Linked DNA regions of Xenopus tropicalis. The protein of the gene in region 1 interacts with the protein of each later gene in a pairwise test. Links are inferred from orthologs where the notes say so. Each region holds a gene or a part of one and is shown on either strand. Other genes may lie near its edges. The genes, in order: lnx2, tubb and srsf11.

Region 1 (8,067 bases):
AGTGGGAGCAGTGGGGAGCTTGCAGGTCAGGTATTGCGAGCAGGACTGGAGAGACTTGAGCGGCCTGGACTAGGGGTAGGCAAGAGGTACTTTCCTAGCGCCCCCCCCGCCACAATGTTGCAGTGCCTCTTCTGCCCCTTCCGGCCCTGAGGGAGGAGGCTGAGTGGGTTAGAGGAGGAGAAGGAATCCTAAGCCTTACCATTGACCTTTGAACAGATTCAGTTTTTTTTGTGGGGGTTTGCATGTTGACATTTGCTCATCTTAATTACCCTAATGAAACACCCCGAAACATTTATGGTGCACTAGTGGTCATAACAAATAGGATAAGTTTATTTGCATGTGTGTTTTTTTTTTATTTTTCTGGGAAAAGGGACATTTTCCTTAACATCTAAAGAAATAAACAAGCACCACTGCACTACCTAGAGTAATGGTGGTTAGCTACATCCTTTAGTAACATGCTGATTCACTTAATCAACTGTGTGTCCCTGGCCTTGGCCTAAATTCTGTATTCACAGGGAATCCACAAGACAGTGCTGATGATAATGCAGGTAAATCTACATAGTTCTGGCTCTATAATACATGGGCATGGACACCCCTTAAGCTGGCCATACACGCACCGATAACATCGTACGAAACCTCGCAGATCTGTAAGTGTATGGCCAGTTTAACTGGGAGGGATTACCAGTCACATAATGGGAATAGTTACTGTGATTCCAAATATATTGAAGTAAAACAGATAAAAGTTATAATGCCTGTACACATGAGCATCAATCAATCATGCATTTATGATGCCTTTATATCAGTACATTACAGTGCATCACAGCACTGATTGTAGACAAATAGATCAAGCAGCATAGTGAGCTTAATTCTGAGATAATAAATTGCTAGACTCATAGTAAAGCACATTCACTGATATCTATGTTGACTGATAATCTTGAGAGAGGATTTACCATCACCTTTAAAGAAGAAGGAAAGTTAAAAACTAAGTAAGCTTTATCAGAAAGGTCTATGTAAATACAGCCATAAGACGTAATGCTGCACTGAGTCCTCTATCAAAAGAAACACGGGATTTCTTGTCTCTTTTTTTGTAAACATGATGTTCCAGTGTCTGATTCCTCTTTCAGAAACATTCTTAATTCCCGTGGCCAGAGTCTGTGCAGTTCTCTACTCTCTCCCTCTCCTGCTCCCCCTCCCACCAGAATGCTAAGAAATCTCTCCCCTCTTCCTTAGAAATGTGTGATCTCAGCTTTAACGGCTAGACTGCAGGAAGGAAGCTACTTAAAATGTCAGCTGCTATCTTAAGCAAATGGAGAAACCTTCTAAAGCTGTTTACTTAGGTATGTCAATGCTTTCTTCAGAATAAATATATTGTTCTAGGTGGCACTAATGTGGCAAATCTATTGGCAGTAAAATGCCAAAATGACTTTCCTTCTCTTTAAATGGGAACTGAAGCCAAAAAATTCTACCTGCGCATGTGCAAATGCATCAAATGATGTCACCAAATGCAACTTTTTACATGAGGGTAAAATATTTGTCACACTGCATGTTTAACAACTGAACTATATTAAGTTAATAATGTCATAAAAAGAAGTTTATCAACCCCGTTGGGAAGAGTGGAAGCCATAAAACTTATCTGCCACTTAAGCCTCCAGTTGGATTCTCTGAGAACAATTCCGCAGAAGAAAAGGCAAAAGAATAAATTGCAACATTTGAATTTGAATCTGCACTTAAATTATTCACTCTCCATTACATGAAGTCCTGCAAAAAGTGATTAAATATGAGTAGGCTTAACTGCATAAGAAACTTTGCAATTTCAACACTCATTTAAAAGATTATCTCAGCCTGCCATATATTGTGCTGCAAGGGGCCATGCTCATTATTGCCCACACAGAAACCTGATATTACACTTGGTAGCTATTGTGGTTCCATATATGGTTGCCACCTGGCTGGTATTTTACTGGCCTGGCTACAACATTTTCTGCTTGATGCCAATGTTATTTACAGGGAAAAAAGTAACAATATAGGAAGGCATTTTTTTCAGAAAAGGTAGAAACCCTAGTTGCATACTGAAATTGAAGTGCCATATACCTGAATGTGAGTATTGAAGTAAAACTTCCATTAACATACAGGGCAGTAATGTGGGTGTTATAGTTTAACAAGACCTGGTATGTAACTGATGACTCGTCACAGTGCTGCTTCTGTAGCTGCTAAATGTCAAGAATTCCAAGGGACAAGCCCTATTTTTTCTCATTCTGCTAAAACAGACAAACTGCAGAGAGGCATGTAATTGCGCTGAATGCAGCGATCACTGCATGATAAGATTCGTACCACATTATGGTGGGGTTCACTGAATCTAGGATTCAGGGTCGGACTGGGCTGTCGGGACACCGGAAAAATACCCAGGAGTCCCCAGCTGCCCAGACCCGACTCTATTGCCGCTTCCCCTGGCCGTCGATGTCTTCTCCTGACGCATTTCACATACGCATGTTCAGGGGAGGACATCGGGCAGGGGCCCCTGTGGGAGGTTAGGGGTGATTGGAGGGGGCCCCTGTGGGAGGTTAGGGGTGAGTGGAGGGGGCCCCTGTGGGAGGTTAGGGGTGAGTGGAGGGGGCCCCTGTGGGAGGTTAGGGGTGAGTGGAGGGGGCCCCTGTGGGAGGTTAGGGGTGAGTGGAGGGGGTCCCTGTGGGAGGTTAGGGGTGAGTGGAGGGGGCCCCTGTGGGAGGTTAGGGGTGAGTGGAGGGGGCCCCTGTGGGAGGTTAGGGGTGAGTGGAGGGGGCCCCTGTGGGAGGTTAGGGGTGAGTGGAGGGGGCCCCTGTGGGAGGTTAGGGGTGAGTGGAGGGTGCCCCGTGGGAGGTTAGGGGTGAGTGGAGGGGGCCCCTGTGGGAGGTTAGGGGTGAGTGGAAGGGGCCACTGTGGGAGGTTAGGGGCGAGTGGAGGGGGCCCCTGTGGGAGGTTAGGGGTGAGTGGAGGGGGCCACTGTGGGAGGTTAGGGGTGAGTGGAGGGGGCCCCTGTGGGAGGTTAGGGGTGAGTGGAGGGGGCCACTGTGGGAGACGCAGCTGGCGGAGGCACCTTGGGGGGTGCGGGGCCCTCTGGGGTGGTAGCCCCGGTGGTCCCTGAACCCCCTAGTCCAACCCTGCTAGTATACGGTTCTGGATTCGGCCATTTTCAGCAAGATTTGGATTCTGTGGAATTGAAGTGCCCGGTGGAACCTATTTCTCTTTGACCCTAGTTTCCATATGGAAATTAAGGTTCGGATTCAGTTCGAAATTTGGTCAAATCTTTCAGGAAGAATTCAGGATTCAGTTGAATCCCAAAATAGTGGATTGAGTGTGTCCCTAGATTAGGGTCAGTTGTATCAGGGGCCAAGTAACCCATCGTGTGGGAAACCCACCCATGTAAGGGGAGCTCATACAAACTCCGAGCAGGCAGTGCCCTGGCTGAAATGGTTAATACCCCAGCGATACCAGCTGCCAGGGTTAATGATTCCACCACCGGGATATAGAGAAGCATAGGGGAATGTTGCAGGTAGACTAACCCTACCTTGCATTTCCCAGTGGCTTACTCAAGGTTACGCAGACACACTAAATACCCAACTATAAGCGCAACCTGCCACCAGGCTATGGCAACAGCATGAAGAGGTTAAGGTCCTACTTCGGGCATAGGCGGAGGACGCTGTCAATTAAGCGCGGCCCTGCCATGTATAGCGGGATGGGCGGGTATAATGGTTTCCCCGGTAACCAGAGTCTGGGTTGCGCTGCAGCGGAGCTTTGGCAGGAGTATGTCAGTAGCAGCAGCACTAGGAGGAGGGAGGGAGGGGGAGTGAGCCGGCACCTCTCCCACTCAGGCATATTGGGAGATCAGGACAGTGCTGTGGCGCTCACACATGCGTGTCCTTTGATTGCACAGCGCCCGACCGCTGCAGGGGAAGAACATCCCACGCAGGGGTAAGATATAACTTTGCTGCTATTTTGGGGGTGGGAGGAGGGTTGGGGGGTTGGAGGGAGCATTGTTCTGGCTGAGGCGTGAGATTTGCGGGGGGTGTGCATTGTGTTCTCCCTGGCATTGGGCAGGGCTGGACACAACATTCCATGCACAATGGTCCTTAATGTCAGTAGCACATATAGATGACCTTTAACATAAAGGCTCTTTCAGGACTACAACTCCCATAATCCCCACCTAGGGGGGGGATGCTGGTAATTCTTCAACAACTAGACTGCAAAGAATGGCCACAGTTTCTTTGTATTGTCCCTTTGCTAATAACACTGTGCAGTGCCCATGATGTCCCCCATAAAATGAGTTCTCCCAACATTGATTGTACTAGGTTGCATGAACTTTCAGTGAGGGAGTCATTTGGTGTGTGTATGGGGGCATGGTGCCAACTGGGCATGCAGAACCATTCTGGAGTGGTCATTGTGGGCAGCAGAGGTTCTGGTCCTCAGCAAAGGAAAAGTTGTGTATTGTATTGGGAATAATGTTCTATACTTGAGACAGTCCCTTGGGCTATGTTGTTTATTTCCAGGGGAAATTAAATATTGCCTGAAGTAAATAGAAAATATTAAACATAAAATACATTTGGGTATATATATATGTATATAATACGTATGTATATATAACGGACATACTGATACTGAGATTTTCAAGTCAGTACAAATGCCCTGTGGCTGTTAGATCAGGTACCTCTTTGAATGGTGGATCATTTCTTGTGCCTTCCATGGAAAGACCTTTCATTAATACTATGGCTGGACTTGCAGCGAATAGAAATTGAATCACGCTTAGCTGAATGCTTTTGTTTTGGTGGGGGGCACGATACAGACAGACCTCTCTTTCCGGTACAGGTGGGTGCCCTGCATTACTGCCTGTGCCCCTGTCACTAACTCGCCCACTTCCCAGTTTGATTTCTTCAATGAGATCTGGCAGCTTTTACTGTCCATTGTGCATGGAATGTCAGTGATAAGCGATATGTTGCATTTAAAGACTTTCCTTTGTCTATGATGATCAGGGAAAGCCTAATGTAAACACTATGGTAACATCATGGTTAATTCATTGTTTATTCTCCATGTGCAAAACCCATTGCACGGATCCATTTTCTTCTGGTAGTAGATGTACTGTAAAGTGATACCTGGCAGCTGCTGATCTGTGGGAGCGTGTGAGTCCAGCCGGCATCGATTACTCTCTGAGATCAGGGCTTGGCTGCTAACAGACTGTATCATGCTTATGGAAACATTAACATTTATACTGGCAGATGCTCTCGGTGCTGCCCTGCCTCTCACTTTACTTATTGCTGGCATCATATACTCCTGCCTTGCCTCCCGAGTCTCCCTACCAATATAAATACAAAACTTTTGTTTATGAGAGATGGAACTTGTGCCAGGAGACCAAACAATGCTCTATGGATCCCGTGTTCTGCTTTGTTATGGGAGCAGGTTCATTCTGTAACCCAATGGCAGGGGCCACAGGGCTCAATAGTTTTGCTTCCCTTGTGTGAGTCACAGTTTGCGGATTGGGTTGCCAACCCTGCCTGTCTTCCCCCCTCCCATTCCGTAAACTGAGAGTGACCAAAGTCTGACACGCTAGGGCTGCCAGGGGATAAAGATCACTTATTGAGCAGAGGATTCACGGCGTGAACAAACTGGGCACCATATTTATCGTGTGTATGTTTGTGTGTGAGAACTTGGAAATCAGCAGCTCAGTGGGAAATCTGTCCCTGTTGCTCACCCCAAACTGGGGCAAATCGCTCAGATTCCTTCATTTTCTGCGAGAGATTTTTCCTTTCTTTCTGGCACTTTGATAAATTGATTTTGTGGAATACTATACAAGTCAGAGAGGTTTCTCTCGCTGGGGAAATAGATCACTGTTAAGTGACTCTCCTGCAGAGGGGCTGCAGAGCTGAAATGTCTCCCTTCCTTTTCCTATATTTATGTTTTAAAACACTTCCTGTACAATGTTTCCCATCATGCACATGGCTAGCAGAGAGTGATGTAGTCCAGCAACAGCAGAATTTGTGTGTCAGAATTTGTTGGAATAAGGCCAAAAATGTTGTGTGAAGCCTTGAGTAATGGGTGTCAGTCTCATAACATTCATGGGAAATTGGTGCCAGCAACAGTGAATATTAGAATCTAGAAAGGGACTGTGGCTGGGGGGTAGCAGGTATAGTAGGAAGAGATGGTGCCTATAGTAGCAGTGGGGGAATAATAGCCTCTGGGAAGGGACTGGGGCTGTGGCATAGCAGGTATAGTAGGGAGAGATGGTGCCTATAGTAGCAGTGGGGGGATAATAGCCTCTGGGAAGGGACTGTGGCTGTAGGATAGCAGGTATAGTAGGGAGAGATGGTGCCTATAGTAGCAGTGGGGGGATAATAGCCTCTGGGAAGGGACTATGGCAGTGGGATAGCAGGTATAGTAGGGAGAGATGGTGCCTATAGTAGCAGTGGGGGATAATAGCCTCTGGGAAGGTACTGGGGCTGTGGGATAGCAGGTATAGTAGGGAGAGACGGTGCCTATAGTAGCAGTGGGGGGATAATAGCCTTTGGGAAGGGACTGTGGCAGTGGGATAGCAGGTATAGTAGGGAGAGATGGTGCCTATAGTAGCAGTGGGGGGATAATAGCCTCTGGGAAGGGACTGTGGATGTGGGATAGCAGGTATAGTAGGGAGAGATGGTGCCTATAGTAGCAGTGGGGGGATAATAGCCTCTGGGAAGGGACTGTGGCTGTGGGATAGCAGGTATAGTAGGGAGAGATGGTGCCTAGAGTAGCAGTGGGATAAAAGCCTCTGGGAAGGGACTGTGGCTGTGGGATAGCAGGTATAGTAGGGAGAGATGGTGCCTATAGTAGCAGTGGGGGGATAATAGCCTCTGGGAAGGGACTGTAGCTGTGAGATAGCAGGTATAGTAGGGAGAGATGGTGCCTATAGTAGCAGTGGGGGGATAATAGCCTCTGGGAAGGGACTGTGGCTGTGGGATAGCAGGTATAGTAGGGAGAGATGGTGCCTAGAGTAGCAGTGGGATAAAAGCCTCTGGGAAGGGACTGTGGCTGTGGGATAGCAGGTATAGTAGGGAGAGATGGTGCCTATAGTAGCAGTGGGGGGATAATAGCCTCTGGGAAGGGACTGTGGATGTGGGATAGCAGGTATAGTAGGGAGAGATGGTGCCTAGAGTAGCAGTGGGGGGATAATAGCCTCTGGGAAGGGACTGTAGCTGTGAGATAGCAGGTATAGTAGGGAGAGATGGTGCCTATAGTAGCAGTGGGGGGATAATAGCCACTGGGAAGGGACTGGGGCTGTGGGATAGCAGGTATAGTAGGGAGAGATGGTGCCTATAGTAGCAGTGGGGGGATAATAGCCTCTGGGAAGGGACTGTGGCTGTGAGATAGCAGGTGTAGTAGGGAGAGATGGTGCCTATAGTAGCAGTGGGATAAAAGCCTCTGGGAAGGGACTGTGGCTGTGGGATAGCAGGTATAGTAGGGAGAGATGGTGCCTATAGTAGCAGTGGGGGGATAATAGCCTTTGGGAAAGGACTGTGGCTGTGGGATAGCAGGTATAGTAGGGAGAGATGGTGCCTATAGTAGCAGTGGGATAATAGCCTCTGGGAAGGGACTGTGGCTGTGGGATAGCAGGTATAGTAGGGAGAGATGGTGCCTATAGTAGCAGTGGGGGGATAATAACCTCTGGGAAGGGACTGGGGCTGTGGGATAGCAGGTATAGTAGGGAGAGATGGTGCCTATAGTAGCAGTGGGATAATAGCCTCTGGGAAGGGACTCGGGCTGTGGGATAGCAGGTATAGTAGGGAGAGATGGTGCCTATAGTAGCAGTGGGGGGATAATAGCCTCTGGGAAGGGACTGTGGATGTGGGATAGCAGGTATAGTAGGGAGAGATGGTGCCTATAGTAGCAGTGGGGGGATAATAGCCTCTGGGAAGGGACTGTAGCTGTTAGATAGCAGGTATAGTAGGGAGAGATGGTGCCTATAGTAGCAGTGGGGGGATAATAGCCTCTGGGAAGGGACTGTGGCTGTGGGATAGCAAGTATAGTAGGGAGAGATGGTGCCTATAGTAGCAGTGGGGGGATAATAGC
Region 2 (8,313 bases), on another chromosome or scaffold:
CCTAGGTGACCAAGGGTCTACTAATTTGAGTGCCCTGCTAACACCCTGCCATCCTATGATTTCTTTAACATGAAGGGGCTAACACACAGGCTTACTGCAAGAACTGTCCTGCTAAGAAAATAGTAAATGGCTTTCCACGGGCAACAAAGGGAATCGCCGGTGGAAAGGCCTACACATCTGCAGAGTTTCCTCTTGTGACAGCTTCAGGCGACTTAAAAAAACTGTAGTTATGCGTGGCCCTTTCCATTGGCAACAAAGTGAATCGCCTGTGGAAAGGCCTATGCATTACTTCAGTTTTCCAAAGTCATGTGAAGTTGCCTGCAGGAGGAAATTTTGTGCACCTTTGGAAAGCTGAAGTAATTTCGGAGAGATTAGTCGCCCGGGGTAGCAGAGATGTATCGCAGGCTACTAAATCTCTCCGTGGGACATTAGCCATAACACAGCACTAACATGTTATTTGCTAATATTGTCTATATCTGTACTTGAGCAAAAAAAAGTGGCTTGCACAGGCTACAGTAAATGCTATATACTCACCATACGTTTACTGTATTTAGCAACTTGTGTAGCATCCCTAAACATTTAAACGGCCTATCACACAGAGATGCGGTTAGACTTTTAGACAGGGGTGTAACTACTGTTCCCCTCCCTTCGCAAAAATTAATCTTTGGAAGGGCCCGGAGCAGAGTAGTAAACCCTACCTGGCCCTCTTCCCCTGCCCCCTCAAGACACTTGGCATTGCAAATAATCTTTCCAGCTCTTAAAGGAGAACTAAACCCTAAAAATGAATATGGCTAGAAATTATATAACAAACTGACTGGACTGGTTTAAAGTTTCAGCATCTCTATAGTAGTAATGATATAGGTCTTTACAGTTGTCACAGTAGCTTCCTATCTTGGATTCTGTTAGAACTGTTCGGGACAGTGCACATGCTCAGTGGGCTCCGAGCAGCCGTTGAGAAGCTGAGCTTAGGGGTCGTTGCAAATTATCAAGCAGAAAATGAGATATGTCTGTCATATAAGCCGAGTTAATTATTTAGTTCTGATGCAGTTGCCCTGGTTTCAGATCTGTTATTTAATGTGACTTTAAATGAATTACTAATCAGCCTTTTACCGTTACATTTATATTCTATTACTGCAGTATATTTTGAGTTGGCCCCTAAGCTCAGTAACTGACAGCAGCACAGAGCATGTACATTGAATCAGATGGGAAGTTACTGGGGCATTTTTGGATGCACAGATCCTCCCTGCTAAAGGGCTGTAGTTGCCTGGGCATGGTACAAACGCCCAAAACATAATGTATAATATTTCTGCCCTACTTCTTTAGTTAGGCTTTATTCTCCTTTAAATGGAGGTCACAATGGAGGTCATTGTTTTTGTTACTTTTTATTACTTATCGTTCTATTCAGGCCATTCCTATTCGTGTTGTAGTCTCTCATTCAAACTACTGCCTGGCTGCTAGGATTATTTGGTTCCAAGCAACCAGACAGTAGCTGAAACTGGAGAGCTGCTGAAAAAAAACCCTAAAAAATTCAAAAACCACAAATAATAAATGAAGACCACTTGCAAATTGTCTCAGAATAGCATTGTTCATCATGCTAAAAGTTAATTTATAGGTAAACTACCTCTTTAAATGAATAGGTCTCTAATGCAAATGGGATGTTCACATTTTGCAAAGCCTTACCAGAGTCATAGGACTTTGCAAAATAAGATCTTTACTCATTATAATGAATTAAAAATAGGCATCCTTTATTCAGTAAAACAAGTCGCTTACCCATTTAGGGATAAGCAAAGATGCAGAGATCAGCAGCGGTAAGAGAGAGAGGGTAAAGCAGTCTCCTAGAGCGGCATTAAGAGCTACTGTACATGGGCGTTTTCTTATCTTTTCTCTGCATTGCGACCTAGTTGCCTGATGCAGCCAAGCTCTTACCCTAGATGTCGACTGGGAAATTTCCCTGCTAACGGTCTCTGCATGTAGGTGGGTGAGGGGGTCCATGACCCCCTCCTACTGAGGGGTAGCCATCTAAGAGGACATAGTAAGAGAGAATTTTTACCAACTAAATAATAAAAAGTAAGCATTAAAAAAAAAAAAAAAAAAAAAAGATTGTAATGGGTAAAGTTCTTCTTTTGTAAAGTCTTACCACTCTGGTAAAGCTTTGGAAAGGTGCACATCCGCTTTACCAAAAAAAAAACCTTTTACCTGCAACTTATTTGTTTTCAAGTTTAAAACACCAAAATGGTTGCCCTTTTATTGGCTCCATTGGGATCACCTGATTGTAGCTGGGAAGGGTGGGGGCTACAATAAAAGCAGCAACCATTTTGGCATTTTTTTTTTTTTAACCTTGAAAGCAAGTAAGGTGCAGGTAAAACTCAATTTGTTAAATGTTTATTAAAGCAGTAGAATCCTTAATGAATCAGAAAAGTCAGTGTAGGACTGGTCAGACTGGGGATGGCTTTCATATAGTTGGGTAGCTTGAAGTATATTGCAATATATGGATAATCCCTGTTTTGCTTAAAGGAGGAGGGCATTTCTTGTTAACTTGATGCACAGAATGTCTTAATGTCCTTCATATGGCTGATGTCAGACGTGGCGTTTTCTCGGCAAGCCGAAAAACGCTCCAGTGCAGGCACATGTAGCTGAAATACACGTTTTTATGTGTATACCCGAGCGTATCTTATTCATGCCATGTCATCAGCCTAAATCTATAATGGGTGAGTGCAGAGCACCTCTCTTGTTGCCTATATGTATTTTGTGGTCACAACCTAATTGCTCCCTGCCTAATGGCTTAAAATTTAGTGGTTGAGCACAACTTTCCCTTTCTTGGTATCAAATGCCCGCACTATTTTTTCAAAACTCCCCTTGCAAGCATTATGCCCCCCACACTGTGAGGGATGGTCATGACTGGACATGTCTGCACATAATGTCCCCTTATCCTACATCACATGCATATCCATACTGATAAAGCTGGAGCACTTGCTTGTTATGTGCATGTGTGCCCCAACTTAGCTTCCTAGCTAAGGGGGGGCATAACATTCATAATGGGGGTTTTCTTAAGGAAATATTGTTTCCCCCAAGCAGTTCTTTGTTAGCTGATACCTACTGTAGGGGAGACAATATTAATGGAGATAGGTTGCCTTTAGTCTCCCTGGTTACATTTTTTCATACCTTGTGTTTCACATATCCCTGCAGGGCTTTTATTTCCTACTGTATTGGTTTGCCTGTATCTGTATGTTGATTATTATGAATGTAAAGTTAAATATGTTGCTGCTTTATAAATGGAACTCAATAATAATTAATTGGATTTACAGCCAATGATATCCTCAGAACCACGAGAACCGAACTACACCGTGTATGCCAACAGCTGCAAATCCAGTGATACTTTATTGCTATATCCACAAGGAACTTGCTCTTTGTTAGGGTGCATATTGTGTAGCACCTTCCCTGATATGGTACATAGGCATGAGAAATTGTAATACAATGTTGCTGTGAAATACAAAGACACAGCAGTAAGAATTGCAGGCTCCGGCAGCTGCCCGCCCTACCTACCAAGCCCAATACTGCGGTATCTCAAGGAGGCTGCCCCTGTCTTTGTATATAGGCTGTACCAATTCTGAGTGATTGCTTGTTCGTTTGGGTTCGGTATCAGACAGCACTGCTAGGTTTATAAGCCTCTGAAATAAAATTAACCTACTCATTCTAAGCCTGAAATATATGCTTAACCATCACTAAATGTGCAATTATGGCAAATGTCCTTAGCAGCCTTTGTACATGTAATAACCAATATCACGACAGCTACAAGCCCTGCTATCCACCGCACTACAGCTACTGCTCAGAAATGCCACTCCCAGCCCCCGATGTGCCCCTTTCTGCCCCTCCCCTTCCCAACAGAGCCCGCCCTCTTCCTCTACTAACCGGCTACCTCCCTTATTGCTCTCGCCATTGTCTCGGACGTTCCACACCAGAACGTCGCTGTCTCCAACGTTCCATCCTCCGAACATCTATTACGCCTGAATCATGAGGGAGATTGTACACATCCAGGCCGGCCAGTGTGGCAACCAGATCGGCGCTAAGGTGAGATCAGGGTTCGCCTACTCTCCAGTGATATGAAAATTCCTCTACCCTACACCCCGAAATATTGACATTATTACATCCACATAACGACAATATAAATTATGCCATGACAGCCTTTAAGTCAGTGGGCAATGTCAGTTCGCAGTCGTGCTGTGTAGCGGCTAGTATCAGATTATAGTCCCCGCCTTTTGTCAGATGTCTAAATTGGCGGGGACTCGTGAAAGCGTTACTAATTCGCTCCTTTATAATGACCAGGAGCCTACCTGTAATACAGTAGATATTATGTCATTTTAGTGAAAATTGTTAATTGAAAACAAAACGATCCGATGTTAAATATAATCGTGCAGCTGCTGCGCCTGACAGGGTAGGTAGGCGATAGGCTATATCACATATAAACCTCCACGCCCTGCTGCAAATGCGCCTCTGTGCTGAATAATGATGTGGCCAGGGCTCCGGCTTTTAGTGCAACACGTGATTACACGACTCTCCCCTAGGGATTTAGCATGAGGGCAGCTCCACTTGGCATGGGGGTGGCAATTACCTGTATGCCATGCTAAATCCCTATGCCCTGATTTGTTCATGAAAGATGCAGTGCATTATGGCGCTGGATGTGTAGTCTTTCCGTCTCAGGGGAAGGGGCTGTGTCTCTTGTTCCAGTGCGGCAAAATATCCAACAGTAAGTGCCTTCCCTCCAAATGAAATACATGTAGTGATAGCAATAATACAAACGCGGTATATTACCGAAGACGAGCGATTTCATTAACACGTGGGCGCGCTTTAGTCGTAAAATAAAGTGGCATATCCAGGAAAATATTTAATTGTACGGTAGCAGGCAGGAAAGACTGCATAGCACATCGTCGTGTAGAACTGCCATTTTGCACACACGGCGTATAATAATGAATAACGTGGCTAGTGTGGTACTGGGATGAGGGGCTATGGCGGGAGAGGGAGTGGCCAGGGCAGCCGCTCAATCATACACGTATCATATCCGCTATATTCGTTCTGTATCTATACACATATACGTGGGTAGGATTACATTTTTCTATATATGTGTATAGGTAAAAATGATACAGTTTAAACTCCATTTCCGTTACTTAATCCCGTTATATGCATGAACGACCCATTGTCAGGGCGGGGCAGAAAATATTTTACTTGCGATAAATGCAGCCTTTATGCTCTGTTATAAAGGGAAGTGCTAAATATCCATCCGCAACAGACAGAGGCCTTTTTGACGATTTTTTTGGTGATAAAAAAATGTTTTTTTAAATTCAATTTTATTTGGTGGCAAAATCTAAGCCACATAACATCATGTGACATTAGAGGGCTATTAATTGGGATTTGCTACATTTGTTCTGTAAGCTTTGCGTTACATGGCGCCTGCTCTTTTTTCCCCGACCACCCCTCCCTTTCGCAACCCCGGCCTTTGTTCTTTGTCCCGTTGTGCTTGAATACATCAAAATGGAGGGCAGCAGCCCCAAAACGCACTAATTATATTCTCGTCTCGGGTTAATCGATACACAGAAACAGTGGGCGAATGGGCTGTGGCAGCTTTGTGCCCCATTTGGGTCCCCCCCACCTCCCCATGGAAAGCTCCCAGTGCGGTGACGTATGTGCATCTGCAGTGCAGCAGTGCTGCCTAGTAATGCTATTAGAGCAGGGATTATAGGGTGGGTGTGCTTCCTGCATAAAGAACGGCTTGTCTATTGCCTTTCTATATAATTCCAAGGTCTGTACTGTGGTGTTGAAAATAATTTCTTTCTTAAAGGGCTTTAACGGGGGAGCAACCCCCACTATTGTGTATGACGTTTTAAGGGAAGAGATGCATAAATGCACATTTAAACAAAAATAAGGTATAGCAAGGTAAATATAGATGCTTTACTTCATGGTTATCTGAAATTATATAGTATTGACAACAGGAGATATGTACTGTGTGAAACATTTATTGCTAGTTAAAGGAAGAATTTAGAATCTCTTGGAGTGAAGGATATAGCAGATTTCTAACAGGATGCCAATATGGCTGATATAACGGATGTGTGATCCATATTGTAAGGGTGTCCCAGTCTATTCCTGGCATTCAGGCGCAGCTGCAATGCCACACCCTAGGCTTTAGCGCTTCCTTGCCAAATGACCCGATATGCTTTACCCTGTGCAAAATAGACCCACTGAGATATATCATTATCCTGGCTTGTTACTGGGAATGATAATTATAGTATGTTTAATATACATATGTGTCTCCACTTGAATCTGCAGAACATTTATATTTCTATTAGTTTTATGGAGACCTGCCCATTTGTCAGCATTACATATTCTGTATATCTACTAAACAAATATCCAGTATTTTTGTGCATACGGGTGCACATGACATATTTCTAAATAGTATGTCACTGCCTGTCATGCTTTATAATGAATATCCTTTGTGTCACATTCCTGTCTCGCCTACACTAGGCTTGTGTGGCTGTCTTGTTCTCTGACTTCCTGTCAGTGTGGGGGAGGGAAGAGCAAACCCATTGAGTTGGAAATGGTAGAAAAGGATTGGACTGCAGGGAGTTAAATACTTAGCAGAACAGTAATGCAGGGAGGAGTATGAATTACAAATGAAAAGGCAGAGAGAGAAAATGAATGCGTAATAGTTTGTGGTTTTTAAAAGGCAGGGAAATAGATTCCTGAAATAGGTAGAGATAAAGTAGTCCTATTATATATATATATATATATATATATATATATATATATATATATATATATATATATATATATATATATATATATAAAAATAGAACTCCATATTGGATGGAGGCATAGACATCACATGGATTCACAGAGTGTGTTGTTTTTGCAAAACAGATGCAGAAATGTAGGAAGGAGGAAAAAAAGATAAGGGGGAATCGGAGAAAAAAATTGTATTGTGTAAGATCTGAAGGGGATGTGGTTACCATTTCCCTTTTCATTTTAGTTCTGTAAAGCAGCAACATCCAGCTGCCTTTGGCCTTTTTAATTATCCAAACTAATGTAACACGATTTGCATCAAACCTTTGGTTGGCAGCTTTCCGTATATTAACAAAGTGTATTTGTAAATTTTATTCTCAGTTTTGGGAGGTGATCAGTGACGAACATGGTATTGACCCCACTGGCACCTATCATGGAGACAGTGATCTGCAGCTTGACAGAATCAGCGTCTATTACAATGAGGCCACAGGTGAGAAGCGTTTGTATAAATGCATGTTTATGTCTGTGGGTGTAGGTAAAATGTGTTCAAAGCAACAAAAAAGTACCACTCTCAACAGGCTTAGTTGGAGAAACTGATTTTAATAAACAAAAGGAATTTTTTTTCTTGAGTCTCCTTTTGTGCCAGCTCCTTGTTACTTCCACTGACACACAGATTTTCTTCTTAGGTGGTAAATATGTCCCTCGAGCCATCCTTGTTGATCTGGAACCAGGAACTATGGACTCTGTGCGCTCAGGACCCTTTGGACAGATATTCAGGCCTGACAACTTTGTCTTTGGTAAGGCATATTTTTATATTTTTTTTTTTTGCCCGTTTTTTCTTTTCATGGTTTTTCAAGGTTTTTATTTGTTTTTATTATGTGTTTGGTTTGAAGGTGGATTTATACCAAATATAGTCCCTATCCTTGTTTAACTGAAGTGTCCTGCTTCTGTTCTGTTGGATAGCTTTGCTACATATCACATTGCAAATAAATTAAAAGTTGTTTGTTTTAAGAGGTTAACATGTTAAATGTACCCACACTCATCATTCCGTGGGACATATTTATTAAAGGCTTATATAGAGCTGAATCTAGTCCACCAGAGGGAAACTTCACAGGTCTATTTTAATAGAATCATTAGAGTAGTTATTAGAGGGAATTTAGTCACCTGTTAGAAGGGAAAAAAAATTGCATCACTAAACTGTACAGCTTAGATCATCTACTTGCTTGTGTTCCTTTGCTACATTTTGTTTTTCAGTACAAATTCACTCACCCTTGTCCGTTTTTATTAATTTATTTATTTTTTTTTCTCAGGTCAAAGTGGTGCTGGCAACAACTGGGCAAAAGGCCATTACACAGAAGGTGCTGAATTGGTAGACTCTGTACTGGATGTTGTGAGAAAAGAGGCAGAGAGCTGTGACTGCCTACAGGGCTTCCAGCTCACTCACTCTCTGGGTGGTGGAACAGGGTCTGGTATGGGCACTCTCTTGATTAGTAAGATCCGAGAAGAATACCCTGACCGCATCATGAATACCTTTAGTGTTGT
Region 3 (7,609 bases), on another chromosome or scaffold:
ATTTCTGGAAGCTGTTTGGGAATTCTGATTCAGAAATTGCTGAAATTTGTTTGAATATCACTGGTTAAGAATAGAATACTTGGTTTAGAGTACTTGTGTAAATATAGTTCTGAACAAACACCAGTGCACATATATACACACACATACAGACCTAACAATACACTAACATATATAAACTATACATATCATTACCTCTACTAACTGTAGGTCTTAAGATGACAATAACCTTGGATATTATACAAGAGATCATCCAAACTATTCTTAAAGCACTAACATCACCCAGAACAGCATTTAACAATCTTTTTAATTTCCATAAAGAGCCACCAACACTTCTTCAAATGAAAGTTCTGCTCTAGTCAAAGGGCTGGCCTCTGTTGCATTGATCTTGTGGTGGGGGAAAAAACATCCCCCATTATCTGTCTAAAATGTCCTCCCATGTGCTTGTAGTTTATAGTTTGCTTTCAGATTTGTAAGTGTTGCATCATTGATTCTCTAACATTGCATATCACTAGATGTCACTATTTCCTTTTCTACAGAAACAAAATGTGTCTCTGCATACAAAGAAAGATTATACAGTTGATTTGAGTAAAATTTAACAGGGAGCTTTATAGTGTTTCCTGACAAATGTAGCAATGTGTAACAATTCGTTCTTTCTTGCAATGTGAATGAGAAAATAGCTGATTAGTGGATCAGTGGGCCTTGCATAGATATTGACAAGGCAGTTAAGGTGGCCTTACACGGGCCAATTCTAGCTGCCGATATCTGTCCCTTAGACTGATTCGGCAGCTTATTGGCCCGTGCATGGGCACTAAAGATGGGGGAGCCCGATCGATATCTGGCCCCAAATCAGCAAGATCTCGATCAGGCAGGTTTGAAAATCAGTCGGATCGGGGCTGCATCGGCTCTTATACTTATCGGATTTTGACGCTTAAATGCAGACTTTTGAGTTTCCACGCCAAAATCTACTCAGTGTAGCTCCAGGATGGTTCAACAGTGTAATTGAAACCCTGAAGCTATGGAAATACTTCAGTGGATTGGCACATTTTAGGAAACAAAATACTTGAAATCTTGCCATATGCATAATGACAGGTGGATTGAATACCTGTCACCGCACATGTAATCCGCGGGTAGGTGCCCGAATCAAGAAATTAGAAGGTCAGAAGACAATTGAACACTTCATTTTACTCAGTGCAAAATAATACATGTTCAGGTGATATTTTAAAATATAGCACATTCCAGGTTCCCATCCTCCCTGGATAAACCCTTAAAAATAAAACCATATAAGTATGGTTTATATTCTGAGCTGTACTTGGTTTTTGAGTATGATGCCATGTATCATTTGGGTGATGTTTTAGGTTTTAAGGAGGCTATGCATTGGACAGTACTCTCCGGTATCCAAATGATTGGTCCATGGGTTGAATGCTATTCTTATGTTCATTTGAATTTATAACCATTCACCAACAGGTCAGATCATCTGTGATCCAGTAAGCATATATGTCCAGATGGTCTTGCAAAGTGATCACAGTGAGCCAAGCTGGGTCATGTACTGCCAGCTGTAGATGCAGTGACACCGTTAACATGCTCAGTGCAGTCATGGTAGAAAATATTACTGCATTGCTTATATAAATTGTTTTTTTTTCCTATAGGATTTTTGACATATTTAAACAGATTCATTATTTTGAAGTACTTGATAGCTGATATTTATATTCTAGATGAATAGTCACAGGACTACTAAACCTGTTAATTTTTGCTACATGGTATGCTTACTGCATAGCTGGCTCTCTACTCCACTGATATACCAGCTCTATGCAAGCAGATTCCGAATCTTCTGACCTGGAAGTTACAGATTCCAGTAGGTAATTCTACTTTCTACATCTGGTTCAAGACCAGCCTTTTCAGGATTCTAGCATTTACAAAGCCAGTGATAAATTTGGAGGGTTGTTTCTTTGTGCAGACCTTGTGTAACAGCAATGTGTATAGCATATGTTTGCTATAGCTGCACTATGTAGAAATGATTTAACAAGCATTAAGAACTTTTAAAAATGTATTTTTTTCTCACTTAGCTTTTCTAATTATGATAGTTACTAAATATTGGGTAAACTTTAAGCAGTTCTGTTATTGTAAATGAACCCTCACTCATTTTTGTGCTACATTCTTCCCTGTCTGATGTGGTAGATTGCACAGGCTATGAACCTGCACAAGTACTGGCACAGCTGGAAAAAAAAAACAAATGGCACAATGGAAGCGGGACTTTATATTTCTGGCAATGGCACTCTGGGTGCTGTACATGGTATCACATATGCCATGCTCTGTGATGGAGGTAGAAATGTTGGGCAAAATAAATACCTTGCCCCCTTATTTAATTGAAAATCGTTTTGGTCTGCGCTTTTAACTTGATCACTTATGGGTTTATTAACATGTTGGTGTAAAAAAAAAAAAAATTGCCCATTTCTAAATGTTTGTGTGTGCGTTGCTATAAAAATCCGCTTAATTGTATTGTTCATAATACAGTGTACAATTATTATTTTTACCATATGGAATTTAAGTGTAAAGAAAGCTCTTTTTTTCCCTCTATGGGGTTTTAAGAGAAATATTTTAAAGTGAATTTTTGCCATTGTTTAGAAGGTAATTCTACATCTCATCTTATAATTATATATTTTAAAATAGGCCCCTTAATATCCTATTGTTTCCAAACAGGAAGGGAAGTACACAAAAAAATTATCTGCGAACATAGCTTGCTCAGTGTAGTGGTTCTGTCCAATTTCCTGCTTTTTTGTTTCCTCAGCTTTTCTTTTAAAGGCCATTGCAGTCCGAATGTTAAGTCTTCTATGTTAAATCTTCTTCAGCACGTGCAACAAAACATTTCCTATCTATCAAGATCAGTCCGAATCTCTACTGGTACATCGTTTGAATTGCATGAATTCACAAAATTCCAGATGTTTGGCTTGCAGAAATTCAGACTGATCTTAATCATAAAGGTGATTTCTAAAGTTTTGTCTTCTATACTGCAGGAGATCATGTGCCATTACCATAAAGAGTAGCAGCAACAAAGTTGTTGTAGATTGTGCCAAATTGTGAACAAGTGGAAACCATCTTTTGCATGGTTTACCTCCCCAGTTGTAGCCAAACAACATTTTTTGGCCAGCACTGTCGGGTATGCCATACAAATAGCATTTGACACTGTTTACAGTTCTGCAGCATTGGTGCTTGAGTTTTGTGCCTGCTGTTGTGTTTTTTTGTTTTTTTAATACAAATGTAAACTTCATCTCTTTGAGATAAGAAACTTTCTGTTAAAACTTCCATATAGTTTTTAAAAAAAAAAAGAATGTAAAACTTCACTATACCTCTCTTAACAATGGCCTTTGGTGCTCAGCCTTTGTGTGATTCTTTCTGAAAGACAGTTGAAATACAACATTTAGTTAAAGGGCACACAGACCAATGATTTATTAGAGCTTACTGTCCATCAAAAACTATCACGAACAGCCTGCATGAAGAAAAAAAACAGTTACTGATAGGTTGGTGAAGAGTAACTTCATTATTTTATAAATTGTCATTGGTTGTCTTTTTTTTTTTTTTGTAGCTACAGTTTAATTCCAATAGCACGGTTATCATGAAAGTATTTACTAACAGAATCATGAACTGTAGAAATGTATCACTTCTGTAAAATCTCAAACTGGGTAGCCTGGTATGGATATGTGTTTCTGTTGGTATGCATGTGCATCCTCCATCCATCCAATTCATTTTAATTATAAACTGATGTTTTACCTGATTCTTTCCTTTCCTTTTGTAGTGATTCTCCTTTGCCTGTAACATCTCGTGTCTGTTTTGTAAAGTTCCAAGATCCAGACTCAGCAGTGGTTGCACAGCATCTGACTAATACAGTGTTCGTTGACAGAGCCTTGATAGTCGTTCCATATGCAGAAGGTTTGTACCTGCTTAAGTTAACTATATCACTGCTGGGAAGGGGGATTTTATTGGTCCATACTTTAAGTGAGCACAGTCTGCATGCTACTGTTTTTTATTTTTTTTCTTTTTTTTTCTTTTGTATGGAATATCCCTGGTATACTGAGCATTCCCTGTTGCAAACACACTAAAGCTTTGATTACCTTTAGGGCTTATCTTAATTTATGCTGGACCATTGGCATGTTTTTTTACTTATGTATTCTATACAATGCTATATAATATCCAGACATTGTAAATTTTCAATATTTCTGCCATGGTGTTCTTTTTCCAGTGCAGCAGCTTGTCCCAATCCATTTCCATTGTATTTGTGGGAGAACTTTGGTAACCCTAATAAAGACCTTGAATGATATTCTGGTAATGCTAAGTCTACCATGGATTGATTGTGGTCTGTCAAAAAACTTTCAGAAGGGTCTGGATGGGAGCTGGGCATTTAAGTTTTTTCTTTCCCTCTCACATTTGTATCCTTCTGTACCTCAAAATACTTGCTAAATAATGAAATCTTCTCTCTGTTATTTGTGTGTGTGATTTTTGTAGTGGAGAAGGCATTTGCAAAGCCCTTCCTGATGACAGAAAAACTGGGTCCTCTGCTGCTTCAGGGGATTCTAGACATTAACTAGACGGCAGCAAGCTCTCGCATCCCCAAGTGTTATTCGTGGTGTAACTACTTATTAACAATATTTTCTTTCCTTAGATATAAGTGTATGACTCTCTTACTCCAGCATAGGCCTTTGCTTGGTTGCATTGGAAAAACTGCATCCTTGAGTGTAGTCCTTTGTAATGTTACAGTTGGATAACTGTATTTGATAAATTAGGTACTTGTGCTCTTATTGTAACAATCCTTACATTAAATCCCTGTGCTTGAAAATGATTCAAGCCCTTTAAAATGTCCTATAGCCATTGTTAGAATGGCAAAATCTCTTAATTAATCTGAAGGCATTTTTAGACATTTACATACACTGTATGCCCACAATTTTTATCCTGAAATCCTAATGTACAGTTTGTGCACTACACTGTATGTTACCTTTTCCCTTGTGTTACGGGAATATTTAGAGACCATATGCCTGTTGCATATCTTTACCTAGCTTCTATAAACGATAGTAAACATTGAATCTATATGGCTATTTCTGCCATTAAAGTTATGTCAGTGTTATCTCCTGTCATTTTTTATTGCATAGTAAGGTATGTGGTGTTTGGTGACTGAGTACACTGCCGACGTTAAAAATTGCAGAGATCAGGCAAAGGTAGACAACTAAAACAATGCACGCCACCTTACAGCTTTCTAACAAAAGTGAACATGACACTGCCCAATCAGGGAATTTGAGTAAGCCACAATTAAGTAAGAAATCTTGTCCTGTTTTTTCAAAACCAATATAGTCCTTTATTTTCTGTGTAAAACTTGCTTTTAATGCAAGGATTATAGAAAGAATGATTCTTTTTCATAAAAGGTTCATCTTCTATTCAGTACTTCATTCTTGTAAGTAATCTTATAAAAAAAAAAAAAGTCAGACGTGTTTGCCATGTATAAAGTTACTATGTGCTATTAGGTTGCACTTCTCTTCTTAAACATTTTCTAAAATGAGACTGAAAGCCCACATTCAGTACATGAATGATTAGAAACTGCAGAACAATCATGGTTGAATGAACACTAAAAATATTGTGGTATAAATAGTTCTAAACTGGCATGTTCTTCGTGATCCATCCACCTCTACAACTGTACCAAATATGTTTGTAAGGCTGTTCACCTCAGTAACTGTGGCACAGTGAGTTTTAACAAAGTTTCTATAAAATAGCAATTTTTGTTTAAAAAGGCAGTTTGATAATTAAGAACTTAGACTTTTAAAGGACTTGCAACACCAAACATGAAAGGGGTTTTTGTGCATTTAAATAAAATGTTACCTTTTACTGGCATGTTTCAGAGGCTTAGGGGCAGATTTAGTAATCCACGAACGGTCCGAATGCGTTTTTTCGTAATGATCGGTATTTTTGTGACTTTTTCGTATATTTTCCGCGACTTTTTCGTCGCCGTTGCGAAAAAATTGGATTGGTTTTTCCTCCGTTTACAATCACTCAATACGAAATAGTTTACAATCACTCAATACGAAATAGTTGAGCAAATTACGATAAAGTCGTGACGACGACGAAAAGACGGCAAAATTTTCGTTTCCAATCCGAATTTTTCCCTTTCAGGATTCGTGGATTAGTAAATCTCCCCCATAGAATTTATATAAATAGGCTCTTGTGTAGCCATAGGGGCAGTCATTTGTGCAGTAGAGCAAATGGTTCCAAACAAATAACAGATGAACTCTTTATAATACCATGATTTTTTATTTAACCAGCAGATAAACTGGTCAAATGTCTGAAAACATTTCTCATATAAAATAGGACACTTTCAAGAAATTTGAAGCTTTTCGTAACTACTGACTGGCCAGATTCAAATGTTATATTTAAAATAAAAATTCTCTATGGTCTTTTAAAATATTTTTTCCATTGAGCGAAGAATATATTATATTAGTTTTTTTTGAGGCTGTTGGAAAAGTTTTTCCAAAGCCAGTTTTACCCTTTTATTAAGGGCATATGCTGTACAGAGTAATATCTTTCTAATGCTGTATTTGCACATGCAATACAGTGCTTGCACTTATCAGTTAATTATTAGGAACATGGAGGAAATTAAATAGTATTTTACCTATTTTATGTTTATTTCATACTGCTAACATATTTAATCCACAAAATGTGGTAGTTTGCTGTGACATTTTTATTTTCTTTGCCAGAGGGCCTGTATCTACTGTACAGAGGTTAAGTATGGTATAGATTTAGATAACAGAATGTATGCTTTTTCTAAGTAGCTCCAATAATTAAGCAATAATAACATTCCTTAGTGTGTGTGTGTGTATACATAGTTTAAATGAGAGCTACATATCTTCAGGGGATAATGTAATACCAAAATAAAATGCCCTAATATTAGTTGTGACTAGAGTTTGATAATTGATCTATATTATATTTATCCCTGTATGGTGATAAACAAGCAGTTTAGTGAGTTGCCAATATTTATTAAACATTTCTACTGAAAGAGCATTTTGATAAATGCAGTGGTACAGTGTATGGGGGACCAAGAATTTTACAAACTGTGCAGTGGCCTCAACTCTGCAGCAAAAGGTTGGGATTTCTGCAGCTAATTGTAAACCCCACAAAAAGTAATGTGTTGTTAAATCACTTTACTCCTGATAAGTATAGACACCTGTTCTTTGTTACTTGTCTCCTATTTTTAAGTTCCTATAGAAGAGGCATGAGTGACATGCTGATTTATGTAGCCCAGTGGTAATCTGTAGGTAGTATCAGAGCTATAACATAGCTTGATGTGCAACTGCTAATCCATGGGCCTCCAGTTTAACAACTGAGTTAGCCCAGAGTTCAGAATCAAACTCCTAGAAAGATTTACCAACTATAGTATTTTAGAATGAAGGCAAACTACTTTCATTTTGCTACATTTTGCTCTTCACTAAATGGGCTGTACTATTGTCAGTGTGTTTTTTTCCCCCTTTCTTTACGAATTGAGTGGCTTTAGATTTTTAATACTGGCAGTACATAAGAGTAGACAAATATTTTTTAAGAATAGTTGTGATGCCTAATTTATAAGCTGGGTTGAATA

What was found.
Region 2: the proteins of lnx2 (region 1) and tubb interact in a two-hybrid assay, tested with the Homo sapiens proteins (3 studies listed by BioGRID and IntAct). The link is inferred for Xenopus tropicalis from reciprocal best matches to the Homo sapiens genes LNX2 and TUBB.
Region 3: the proteins of lnx2 (region 1) and srsf11 interact in a two-hybrid assay, tested with the Homo sapiens proteins (3 studies listed by BioGRID and IntAct). The link is inferred for Xenopus tropicalis from reciprocal best matches to the Homo sapiens genes LNX2 and SRSF11.

The regions. Positions count from the first base shown.
Region 1 is NC_030678.2:155,297,269-155,305,335, forward strand, and holds the start of lnx2 (ligand of Numb protein X 2), read left to right. Parts: upstream 1-3,768; 5' UTR 3,769-3,945; intron 3,946-8,067.
Region 2 is NC_030684.2:75,228,534-75,236,846, reverse strand, and holds the start of tubb (tubulin beta chain), read left to right. Parts: upstream 1-3,956; 5' UTR 3,957-4,011; coding exon 4,012-4,068; intron 4,069-7,152; coding exon 7,153-7,261; intron 7,262-7,457; coding exon 7,458-7,568; intron 7,569-8,081; coding exon 8,082-8,313. UniProt on the Homo sapiens protein: Tubulin is the major constituent of microtubules, a cylinder consisting of laterally associated linear protofilaments composed of alpha- and beta-tubulin heterodimers.
Region 3 is NC_030680.2:82,767,306-82,774,914, reverse strand, and holds part of srsf11 (serine/arginine-rich splicing factor 11), read left to right. Parts: intron 1-3,790; coding exon 3,791-3,924; intron 3,925-7,609. UniProt on the Homo sapiens protein: May function in pre-mRNA splicing.